Linked DNA regions of Struthio camelus. The protein of the gene in region 2 purifies or fractionates together with the protein of the main gene of each other region. This does not show direct contact. Links are inferred from orthologs where the notes say so. Each region holds a gene or a part of one and is shown on either strand. Other genes may lie near its edges. The genes, in order: RNF170, ERLIN2 and TMUB1.

Evidence for each region.
Region 1: the proteins of ERLIN2 (region 2) and RNF170 purify together in Homo sapiens (affinity purification with mass spectrometry; 4 studies listed by BioGRID and IntAct, counting the BioPlex papers as one, with this or other methods). This does not show direct contact. The link is inferred for Struthio camelus from reciprocal best matches to the Homo sapiens genes ERLIN2 and RNF170.
Region 3: the proteins of ERLIN2 (region 2) and TMUB1 purify together in Homo sapiens (affinity purification with mass spectrometry; 4 studies listed by BioGRID and IntAct, with this or other methods). This does not show direct contact. The link is inferred for Struthio camelus from reciprocal best matches to the Homo sapiens genes ERLIN2 and TMUB1.

The regions. Positions count from the first base shown.
Region 1 is NC_090982.1:12,001,490-12,005,233, forward strand, and holds the start of RNF170 (E3 ubiquitin-protein ligase RNF170), read right to left. Parts: upstream 2,308-3,744; 5' UTR 2,178-2,307; intron 1,806-2,177; coding exon of another isoform or gene 1,749-1,805; exon of another isoform or gene 1,658-1,748; intron 1,566-1,657; exon of another isoform or gene 1,516-1,565; intron 1,513-1,515; exon of another isoform or gene 1,449-1,512; intron 912-1,448; 5' UTR 780-911; intron 1-779. Other genes in the region: HOOK3 (protein Hook homolog 3), read left to right, coding at 1,749-1,805. UniProt on the Homo sapiens protein: E3 ubiquitin-protein ligase that plays an essential role in stimulus-induced inositol 1,4,5-trisphosphate receptor type 1 (ITPR1) ubiquitination and degradation via the endoplasmic reticulum-associated degradation (ERAD) pathway.
Region 2 is NC_090968.1:6,912,643-6,916,386, reverse strand, and holds the start of ERLIN2 (erlin-2), read right to left. Parts: upstream 2,643-3,744; 5' UTR 2,586-2,642; coding exon 2,479-2,585; intron 2,369-2,478; coding exon 2,287-2,368; intron 2,124-2,286; coding exon 2,077-2,123; intron 1,310-2,076; coding exon 1,248-1,309; intron 283-1,247; coding exon 157-282; intron 1-156. UniProt on the Homo sapiens protein: Component of the ERLIN1/ERLIN2 complex which mediates the endoplasmic reticulum-associated degradation (ERAD) of inositol 1,4,5-trisphosphate receptors (IP3Rs) such as ITPR1.
Region 3 is NC_090943.1:453,700-456,703, reverse strand, and holds TMUB1 (transmembrane and ubiquitin-like domain-containing protein 1), read right to left. Parts: upstream 2,132-3,004; 5' UTR 2,064-2,131; intron 1,908-2,063; 5' UTR 1,886-1,907; coding exon 1,473-1,885; intron 1,080-1,472; coding exon 725-1,079; 3' UTR 630-724; downstream 1-629. UniProt on the Homo sapiens protein: Involved in sterol-regulated ubiquitination and degradation of HMG-CoA reductase HMGCR. Involved in positive regulation of AMPA-selective glutamate receptor GRIA2 recycling to the cell surface.

The DNA.
Region 1 (3,744 bases), on a different chromosome or scaffold from region 2:
AAAACACATTACTGCATTTGTTTTCTAAGGCTTTTAAACCTTCTTCCTCAATTTGACAGCTGCTCTTAAAAGGTAAGAGGCTGAATTCAAAACTTGAAAATGAAAATAGCTGGTTATGCTATGACATCAGGGAGAAGATACTTTTCTGAATAAGCGGGAGAGTTTTCACAGCTCTTGTAACACACTTTCAATTGAAACAGGCTGACATAAAGTAATATCAAGATTTTGTCCATGCTATTTGCTCATTTAATGCAAGAACTGTGAGAAAATAGGAACAAAATGACAGTATTTAGATGCGCAACACTTTCTTTCTCGGTTGTTTATGCAACTCTCGTCCGCGTTACTAGCGTACCATGCTTGCTACTCCATGATGCCACATGCCAGCTCAGTGACTAATGAGCCGGGATCTGTATAACTTAATATTACATCTGATATTCTCATTAGAAGCTTCAGCTGGGGCAAAATTCAGCTGATTACTGAAAACGAGTTTGCTGAACCCTTCAGGCAACCCCTTTACAGTCTGATGTAGAGCTCCTCTAGCCAAGGAAGTAGGGAGGCAGAGCCACACTAGCCAAGAAATAATCTCCTATTAAGGTTAAACGTGAATTGAGTTATCCACAACTAATCTGATTTAATAGATTAACTTTTATGATAGCAACATTTTGCTGAGAGGGAGCTAACGTCATTTTCTACAGCAGAGAGAAGAGGGGGAAAAAAAAAAAAAAAGGAAATCTCCTTTTAAAGGCTGCTCTTGCCACGTGTCAGACTGCACTACTTACTAGCAAGTGCCTTTCCTGGGGTGCAGCAACCTCACCAGTCCACACTGCTGAAGTCAGAGAGCGGCAGAGGCCGGGGCCCTACCCGCTACCCACCAGAGACCCACCAGGCCGGCTCCTACGTGCGCGTCGGGGCTGCAGGACCGGGGGGGGGGGGGGAGAGAAACGAGGCAAGAGCAGTCAGCCTGCGGCAGGGCCTCTCCAGAGGACCACCCCCCTCCCCCGGGGGAACCTGCTTTTTGTCGGCACGCAAGTGCTACTGGGCTGGGGGAAGAAGGGGAAAAGGGGGAGGGGAAAAAAAAATAAAACAAAAAAAAAGCTAACCGCGGCGCCAGCCTTGCGCACCCGCGGTGTTGTGTAACCGCCAGCACCACAGTTCGGCACCGGCCGCGCTCGCCCAGCCTGCGCAATGCGCGAGCGCCCACGCGCCCGTTAACGGCTCCCCCGCGCCCGTTAACGGCTCCCCCGCGCCGCCCGCCAACCGGCCAGCCAGGCAACACGGGCCCCCCCGCCCCGCCCCTCCGCACCCTCGCCGGCTAGGGCGGCACGGCGAGAGGAGGGAAGGGGAGAAGAGGAGAAGGGAGAAGGCTCCCCGCCGGGCCGGGTCGGGGCGCCGCCGCCGCCGCCTCCCCTCAGCGGCGTGGGGGAGGGGCGCGGCCCGCGCGGCGGTACCTCAGCTCCCGGCGCGCGCGACGCTCGCCGCCGCCGCCGCTGCCCCGCCCCGCGGCCCCCCCCCCACCCCTCCCTCCACTCCGCGGCCGGGCTCGGCCGACAGCGGCGCGGCGCGTCAGGGGCGCATGCGCGCTGGGGGCGCGCGGGCGGTTCCTGGGAGGTCGCGGTGACGTGTCGACGCCACAGCCCAGGCCCGGGACGCGGGGGGGGGGGGGAGAGGGGGGAAAGGGGGGCGCCGCCACAGGACGCGACGCGAGCGGGCCGCGGCCGTTAGCCCCGCGCGGCCGCCGCCGCGCCGCCATGTTCAACGTGGAGAGCCTGGAGCGGGCCGAGCTCGGCGAGAGCCTCCTCACCTGGGTGAGTGCCGCGGCCGCCTCGCCGCGCCCGGAGCGGCGCCGCCCGCCGGGGACACGGCTCCGTGCACCCGCCCCGGCCGCCGCCGCGGAGATTGGAGCGGGTTGGGGTTGGGGGGGGGGTGGGGAGAAGGGCGCCGCCATCGCCGTCGCCAAGGCCGCCGCCCCGCCCGCCGGTGGGCCCGAGCCCTGCCGCGGCCGCCCTACCCCACCTCGCCTCCGGCCGCGGCGCTGCCCCCCACCCCGAACAAAGGAGCCGGCGCCCCGCGGCGGGCAGCGGCCCCCCTCCCCCGGCCCCGGCTGCCTCGGCTCCGCGCCTCTACCGGCGGCGCCGCGGGGTGCCCGGGCCCCGCCCGCCCCCCGCAGCCTTTTTTACCCGGAAACTTTCTTTCTTCCCGTCTGTTTCGTCTTCTTCTTTTTATTTTTTTTTCTTTTTCCCCTTGAGCCCCGAGGGGCGGCGTTCACCTGTGAAGTCAAGGTTACACCCCCCCCCTTTCCCTCCCCCCTCCTCTTGCCGTTACCTTTACTTCATCTTCACCTTGGGGCTTTGGTCCATGAGCGCGTTCAGGTTGCGCTGTTCTTCGCAGAGCAGTCCAAACTTACTGGACGGGGGACCGGGGTTTGCAAGCGCTGCTCCACGTTTGGAGCGGTGACTGTGCCATATCCTTGGAGCTGGCATTTTCTGTAGCAGCTGATTCATCGGTGAGCTGTTTGGAGCCACTGGATTTGTGGTTTTTTTTCTTTTTTTTTTTCCCTTTTGTTGATGTTGTCTTTCCATTAACAGTATTGGCAAGTAAATACCCATTGTGTGCAACTCTGGAATATGACTGACAGTTGAAAAGAGCTATATACTTACTCTTCTAGATATTTAGTCTGTGAAAGGTCGGAGCTGGATAAAACTGTGATGGTGAGTAAGTTGCTGGGGAATGGTAGTTTAGCTTTTTCTGTGAAAGTCAAAAGTGGACAAGCCAGGAAGATTCACTGAGTGTTGAAGGTGAGCAGGTGGCCCAGAATGTACAGAAGACTGAGGCTTAGGGGAACAGTATATAATGCAATGCCATGGCTACTCTCCTGCTTTATGCACGTAAATGGAATAAGTAACTTGAGAGTAAGTAACTCTGTTTCACTTCCCTTCACATCCCTGCCAGTCCTTGCACCTTCCAGAAGCATTGGCCACTTGTCCTGCCTTTGGGCTCCCAGGATTCCTTTTTCAGATATTGGGAAAGAAATGAGAATCCTCCTACTGTTGGAATTCATGAGGAAGTAGATGTGTGTGACTCTTGGTGAAGAAAGGCCAAGCAAGAGGCTCATTATGAGGGGGGGGGGGGAAATAAGTTGTATTGGGGGTGGATGGAAGATCTGTTGCCGTGTGTCGCTACTTTCCCTGTGCTCGCGTGCTTTAGCTGTTTTACGTGTGATCCTCTGGTGCTCTTTGGCAATAAAGTAGTCACATCGCTGGGAGAAGCATAAGATGAACGCTAACCTAGCCAGTGGTCCCAGTCTCAAATGCTATCTTGACTCCTTAACCTTCGAAGTAACTAACAGACCAGCCCTTTGCTAGGAGTCCAGTCATCTGCATGTGGACTGATATACTTGAAATATGTGAGTTGCTGCAGAGTGATAGGTACTGAATTTTCTGTTGTCTGTAATTTACTGGTCTGTAAACAGTGATTTGAACTTGTTGATCCTACCCTTTATTCAATCACAGGTTGGATAAAATTGTTAATAGCCTGAGAATATTTAGTTGAAATGCAGCATTTGTACAGAAGTCTATATCAGGTCTGAAAAGATTCCAGGACTAAAAATCTTCTAATATTCACTTAAAATATGGTGTTCAAATTCGATTTGAAGTGATAATATTTCAATTTAATTTTAAAAGATTGCGTGAGATTAAACTATTTGTGAGCTAGTGAAGGAATTCACAAAATGCAGAGTGAGAATTA
Region 2 (3,744 bases):
GCAGATACAACTAATATGTAAAAGCCCGTCGGTTACAGGGTAGCAACTTCTGTATCAACAGACCACGCAGACAGCTATCAGAAACATCATTCAAGGAACCATCAACCCAGCACCGAGCCTGTAGAGCTAGTGTCACAGGTCAGAGACGCAGCTCACCGAACAGCTCAATGTAGACCTCCTGCAGCGTGTGGACACTGCAGAACTGGTTCAGCTCATGGTGAATCTTGTTGAAGATAAGAGCTTTGTCATAGTCAGCTGTGTAGTTCTTCACTATGTCATATACTACAAAAGAAGAAGTGAAACCAGTGTTAACAGCTGGTGCAGAGGATGTCTCAGGTGGGGCTAAATGCTTGCAGTAGAAAGCTTATGGCTGAGTCACACCACCAACAGCAAGAGATGCAGTGCCAATCAGCGAAACAAGAAAGCACCCACCAGAGAAGAGAAGTCTGCACTGCAGACGAGCGCTTTGTCCACGTATTCTGACAGGGGAGTTTTACTTATTGCTAACAGTACACCACACTCTAGCCAGTGTTGTCACATGCTTTGTGAGAAGAATAACACCTAAGTCATATCAGCCCTCTCTGCACTATGTGCAAATGTCTGCCAGGAAGATGGCACACATGGACCGTGCCTGACTTGCAGAATAGAGAGACCGCAGGGTCTGCGCACAGCAGGGGGAGAGGATCCTGAAGTTGCAGTATGACAGAGGCTCCAAAGCAGGACGCTGATGAGCCCAGCAATAAGACCATACTCATAAACAACAGGATGTTAACAAGGAGAGTCTGAGGAAAGGACTGCATCGGTCATTCCTTTTGTGCCTCAGATGCCAGCCTTCTGCTCACGGACTCCCCGTCTCCCCTACTGCTTGCACATGTCATTATTCAAAACAGAAGCTCTTCACTGAAGCACAACGCCCAGTCCAGCTGTAATAACACGGCTAATAAAAGTAATAATGACATGCAGGTATTAGTGAAGCAATTAGTAACACAGAACAAGCGTGTGCAAGAACTAATAAACACACAAATGTCTGGAAAAGCTAGTTAAAAGGTTTAAGTCCAGGAAGTAGGGGCTTTACAAGGTATACAGAGGAATACCAGCAGTACTCCCTAGCTCCAAATCAGTCACAGCACAAGCATGCGCAAACTCCTAACCTTGTCTTGCACTAGCAGAGCACAAAGAACCCTGGGAAAGGAAAGTCACACAGATGTTGGGTGCAAGGAGTTGCAGGGTCAAAGGGAGGAACTCACCTGCACTTTGGATCAGGAAATTCACCACCTCAATTCTGTCAAAATAAATCATCACTCCCCCACTGCAAAAACAAGATTAAAAAAAAAGAAGAAGAAAAATAAAGTTTACTAGTGGCCAAACGTTCTGCTTGTGCAGCCAGATGGCCGCTGAGCAGAAGACACTCCCCTCTAGTGGGCTGAGTGCAACATTTACAGCCCTCAGTGCAGCACGCTGCGACATTACAGCAAAGCCTCACATCCCGCTCAGCGTCTCAGACTCAGGGTTTTAGCTACAAGTGTCCTTTAGGAACTGGATCACAGTATGTGGGCCCAGGTTTGAAAAGACCAATTACTAGTGGCTACCATAGGGAAATGCAAACTCCTGAGTCCTTTTCCTAGTTGCAGCTCTCCTGAGACATTGAGCTGTTCACTTCCTTCCTGCGCTTCAGTTTTCAGACTGGCAAAACAGAGAATGCAAGTTTCAGAGTATTAGAGTTGTGCACGTAGACCGCTACAGGAAAGATTAGGCTCGGAAAGTGTTCTGAAACCAGCTGAAACGCAATCTGTTCCCAGCAGAAACTTAACTAGATCAAGAACGAGATCACGGAGACTCCTGTCAGCGTTGTCTACGTTAACTCGGGGGAAAGCGGCACCGAGACATTCGGGACGCCCGCACATCGGCTTGGGCACGGGCTTAGAGAAGGGGTTTCAGCGCTTTCAGCTAGGACCAGGGAGGGAAGACAAGTCTGTCAGGACAGAGTTATGCGTTTTAAAGCGCGATGGAGCGCGTAACCGAGGGGAAGGCCCCGCAGGGACCAAGAGCCGAGGGGGAGAGGAGAGCGGAGCTCACCTGGTGCCGCAGGGAACGTTTTTCACCTCGTCTGTCTGCAGCGTGGTCTGAGGAGAGAAAGGTTTCAGCAGCAAAGCTGAGGAGCCCCCAGAGCCCCGCCGGGGAGGCCGCGAGGGCCGCCGCTCCCGCCGGCCCGCGGGGGGGAACCGGGGCCGGGCCGGGCCCCCCCCGCTCTCCCTCCCCGCCCAGGCCCCGGCCGCGCAGCAGCACCTGCACCGACTTGTAGGAGGTGATGAAGGGCAGCATGAGGTGGAAGCCGGGGCCGCTGGTGGAGGTCAGCAGCGCCCCGCCGCTGCGGAGGGAAACGGAGAGCGTCAGGGGCGGCGCGGCCCGCCGAGCGGGGGGGAAGAACGGGGACGGGACGGGACGGGACGGGACGGGGGGCCCCGCGGGGCCGCTCACCGGTAGTAGACGCCGATGTGGCCCTCCTCGATCTTGTGGATGGCCGAGAGGAAGGCGGCCGCCAGGAAGCTGAGCGCCAGCGCCGCGATGGCGCCCAGCTGGGCCATGGCCCGGCCCCGGCCCCGCGCGTCGCCCCGGCAACGCGCCCCGCTCGCCGCCCCGCGCGCCGCGCCGCTTCCGCCCGCCGCCGCCGTGACGCCATCGCCGCGCGCCCGCCCGCTTCCGCCCGCCTGCCCCGCCTCCCTCCCCCTCCCCCGCCGCCGCCGCCAGGGGGCGCCAGAGCTGCGGGGCTGCCGCCGCGGAGACCCGGGTTCGAGACCGGCCGCCGCCGCCCGGCGCCCCGGGGCTTCTCGGGGACGCGGCCGGCGCTGCTCCCCAGCTGCCCGCGGTGCCTGGGCGGCTCCTCCCGCCCCGGTGGTGCTGGCTGGGCAGGCCCGGATGCCTTGGTCCCTCGTGCGGGCCTAGGTTCCCGTTCCCGGCCACCTTGCCTGGTTTCCAGCACCCTGAGGCCCAGTTCTGCCCTGCACTGACCCCTCGCTCGCACACAGCCCCCGGCCCCGCAGGGCACCCTGGCCCTGGGTGCAAGGATAGGCTGCCATGCCCTGTCCCCAGGCCCCCCAAGGTGTGTCCCAAAGCCCAGTTCTGCCCTGCACTGACCCCTCGCTCGCACGCAGGCCAGTGGGTGCTGTGCCCCACGGGGTGCCCTGGCCCTAGGCACGGGGACAGGCCACCATGCCCCATGCCCAGTGTCCCAGGATGCACCCCAAAGCCCAATTCTCCCTCGCGCTGACCCCCTGCTCGCACACCGGCACCGTGCCCCATGGGGTGCCCCGGCCCCAGGCACAGGGACAGGCCACCTCAGCCCATCGTGGCCTCTCCTCCTGGCTCAACAGGCGGACGCTGCCGGCGGTTTAAAAAAAGCTGTTCCCTATTTGGATGCGTGTTTGGCCCAGACAGAGGAGCAATAATCGGAAAAGTGACAGACCATGCAAAAATATATTAAATCTTCTGCATCTATAATTGTTGAAGGGGACTTAAAAAACATAAGAGAGACATATAAAATGTCAATATAGAATAATTTGATCTTTACACTTGATAGATCTCCTAGGGTTATATATAACAAGCCTGTCAGAAGGATTCAGCACCATTTAGAAATAAAGAATGAAATACCTGCAATATTTGTCAATCCAAATTTTACAGCTCTTAAATAAGCGCAAAAGGGCGCCAGAGATGAAATACACCCTGTATTAGATTTTTTTAAATGCT
Region 3 (3,004 bases), on a different chromosome or scaffold from region 2:
AGTCTCAGGGGAAGCAGTTAACCAGGCACCAACACACAGTACAGGGCCTGGGTCTGCGTGCAGACAGGCAAGCACTAAAGCGTGCAGGGGAAAGATGTGCACACGCGGCTCCCAAGAGCGCTTACACCATACACAAGTTTGTGGATGAGCAAGCATGTGAAGAGGAGCACCCAGCCTGCGCACAAAACACGTGCAAACAGCAGATGGGGGCAGGTGAGCTTGGACGGGCTCCATTTGCACAGCAGGATTCCTCTTAGCAGGGGCCAACAGGACCACTTCAAGACACCTCAACCCCTCCTGTTAGAGAGGAACTTGCTCCTTGCAATATAGTAGTTCCCCTCCCCAGAGGTAGCACAACACTTTGCACTTGCAACAGTTAAGGCTCCGGCAGTAGCACAGAACTAGCACTGCCAGGCTCCAGGTAGGGACTCCCTTACAGCAGCACCCCTTCTCCCTCTGCCATAAAGAGAAAGGAGCCAAAGGACTACAGAACACGGGCCACAGACTGCCAACCTCCTAGGCTAGACGTCAGGGCTCAAGCCCTGATCGGACTCCCTCAGATCCGGCGAGTCTGTTACACAGTCCCCCTAGAAAAACCAGGAGACGTAGTCAATAGCCCAGACTCCCCCTCGTGTTCAGGTGCAGTGGGCAAACTGCACCCAGTACAAAGTTTATTCCCAGGTAGGAGGGCTTGTAGGATCCTTTCAGGGGTGCAGGGATAATGCTATCTGCGGTACATGGTGAAGGCCATGAAACTGAACAGCAAGGTGAGGCCAGCCAAGAAGGTGGTTGCAGTGGCAGTGAAGACATGTCGATACTGCAGCTGGAAGTACCAGAGCACAGCCAGCATGAGCACAAAGAGCGGCAGCATGAGGCTGCCCACGTTGAGGGCTGTGTGCACGGGGTCAGCAGAAGTGTGGGGGCCGGTGGGCGCAGGGGCCGGGCTGTGCTGGGAGATGTGGCAGTGCAGGACGCTGTTGTGGGTGAGGTGCAGGGCAGCCAGGCTCTGAGCGTCATCTCGCAGCAGTTGGCCCTGGTAGATCAGCCGCACCTGCTGCTCCTGGCCTGGGAAATAGGCCCTGGGTTGGAGAAGACAAGGAGAGAAACGTCATGCTTCCACCAATACGCAGTCCCTCCCATCTACCTTCTGCCTTAGTATTTCCCCCCCAACCCCAGACCAGGCTGCAAACATGCTCGCCATCTGCCCTGAGTGCGGGAAGCCTGGCTGCACCCCCCTCCTCCAGGCTTTGCCCTCAGCCGTGTCAGACATGCTGCTAGGATCAAAGGTGCCCGCTAGAACATGCTGTCCGAGTATCCCGAGACGGGCAGGATCGAGCCCAAACGGCAGCAGCTCCGAGCTCACAGCGACTTCAAGGAAGGGCAGGAAAGAGAAACCAGGGCTGGGGGCGGGCAAACCGGACAGCCGCCAGCAGGGAACGAGCGGGGCGGCTGCCGCCTGCCCGGCTCCTCACCTCTTCAGGGCCCCCACGGTGTCGCCGGGGCGGACCCGGGCCAGGCGCTCCGTGTCGTTGAGGAACTTCAGCCGCAGCACCATGGTGGGGTCGGCGGGGTCGCCCGCCTCGCCGGGGGCGTCCTGCGCGGGCCCGGGGCCGGCCCGGGGCCGCAGCCCCGCCGCCAGCCCGCCGGGCCCATCGGGGGCCGCCGCCGCCGCCGCTGCCGCCGCCTTGGGCTGGCCGCCGGGCGGGCCGGCGCTGGGGCCCTGCTCGGGCAGCGGCGGGGCGGCGCGGGGCGGCGCGGGGCCGCGCGGCGGCTCGGCGGGCTCGGGGGCGCGGGTGGAGGCCCAGGCCAGCCCCAGCACCACGGCGGCCAGCAGCAGCGCGAAGAGCACGGTCACCTCGTCGCCCACGCCCTCGATCAGCGCCATGGCGGCGGCGGCGGCTACCGACCTGCGGGCACACAGCAGCGCCGTGAGGCGGCGGCGGAAGGCGCCGAGGGGCGCCGCCGCACTCCCGCTGCTCCCGGGCGCGCCGCCCTGCGGCAGCCCGCGCCGCCGCCGCCCCCCGGCCCCGGCCCCGGCCCCGGCCCCGGCCCCGGCCCCTCACCTGCCGCCATCCCGGCGCGCTCCACTTCCGCCCCGCGCGCGGACTCCCGGGCCGGGGGAACCGGCCCCCGCCGCAAGGCACGACGGGATGGCTCCGCCCCGCCCCGCGGCATGCCGGGAGCGGTAGTCCTGGCCGCGCCCCGCGCACGGGCTCTCGGGGCGGGTAGTTCCCGCCCGCTCGCAAGGCGGGCCGGGAGGCGCGGCGACCTCCGCGGCGCATGCGCGAGGGGGAGGGTTTGCGCGGGGCGCGCGGGGCATGCCGGGAGGTGTAGTTCTGTGAGCGGGGCGGCGGGGGGCCGCGCCGAGGCCCCGTGCCCCGGGGGGCCGAGCCGGCTCTGGGGTCCCGGCATCGGCCGGGCCGGGCCGGGCCGAGGGGTCCAGCACGGGGGGTGCCCGGGCCTCGGCCCAGACCGGCAGGCAGGGACACGGGGCTGCAGAGTGCGGCGCTCTGTCCTTCCCCGGGGCGCTCTGTCCTTCCCCCCGGGGTGCTCTGTCCTTCCCCCCCCGGGCGCTCTGTCCTTCCCCCCCCGGGCGCTCTGTCCTTCCCCCCGGGGTGCTCTGTCCTTCCCCGGGGCGCTCTGTCCTTCCCCCCCCGGGCGCTCTGTCCTTCCCCCCCCGGGCGCTCTGTCCTTCCCCCCCCGGGCGCTCTGTCCTTCCCCCGGGCGCTCTGTCCTTCCCCCCCGGGTGCTCTGTCCTTCCCCCCCGGGTGCTCTGTCCTTCCCCCGGGCGCTCTGTCCTTCCCCCCCGGGTGCTCTGTCCTTCCCCCCCCGGGCGCTCTGTCCTTCCCCCCCCGGGCGCTCTGTCCTTCCCCCGGGCGCTCTGTCCTTCCCCCCCGGGTGCTCTGTCCTTCCCCCCCGGGTGCTCTGTCCTTCCCCCCCCGGGCGCTCTGTCCTTCCCCCGGGCGCTCTGTCCTTCCCCCCCGGGCGCTCTGTCCTTCCCCCG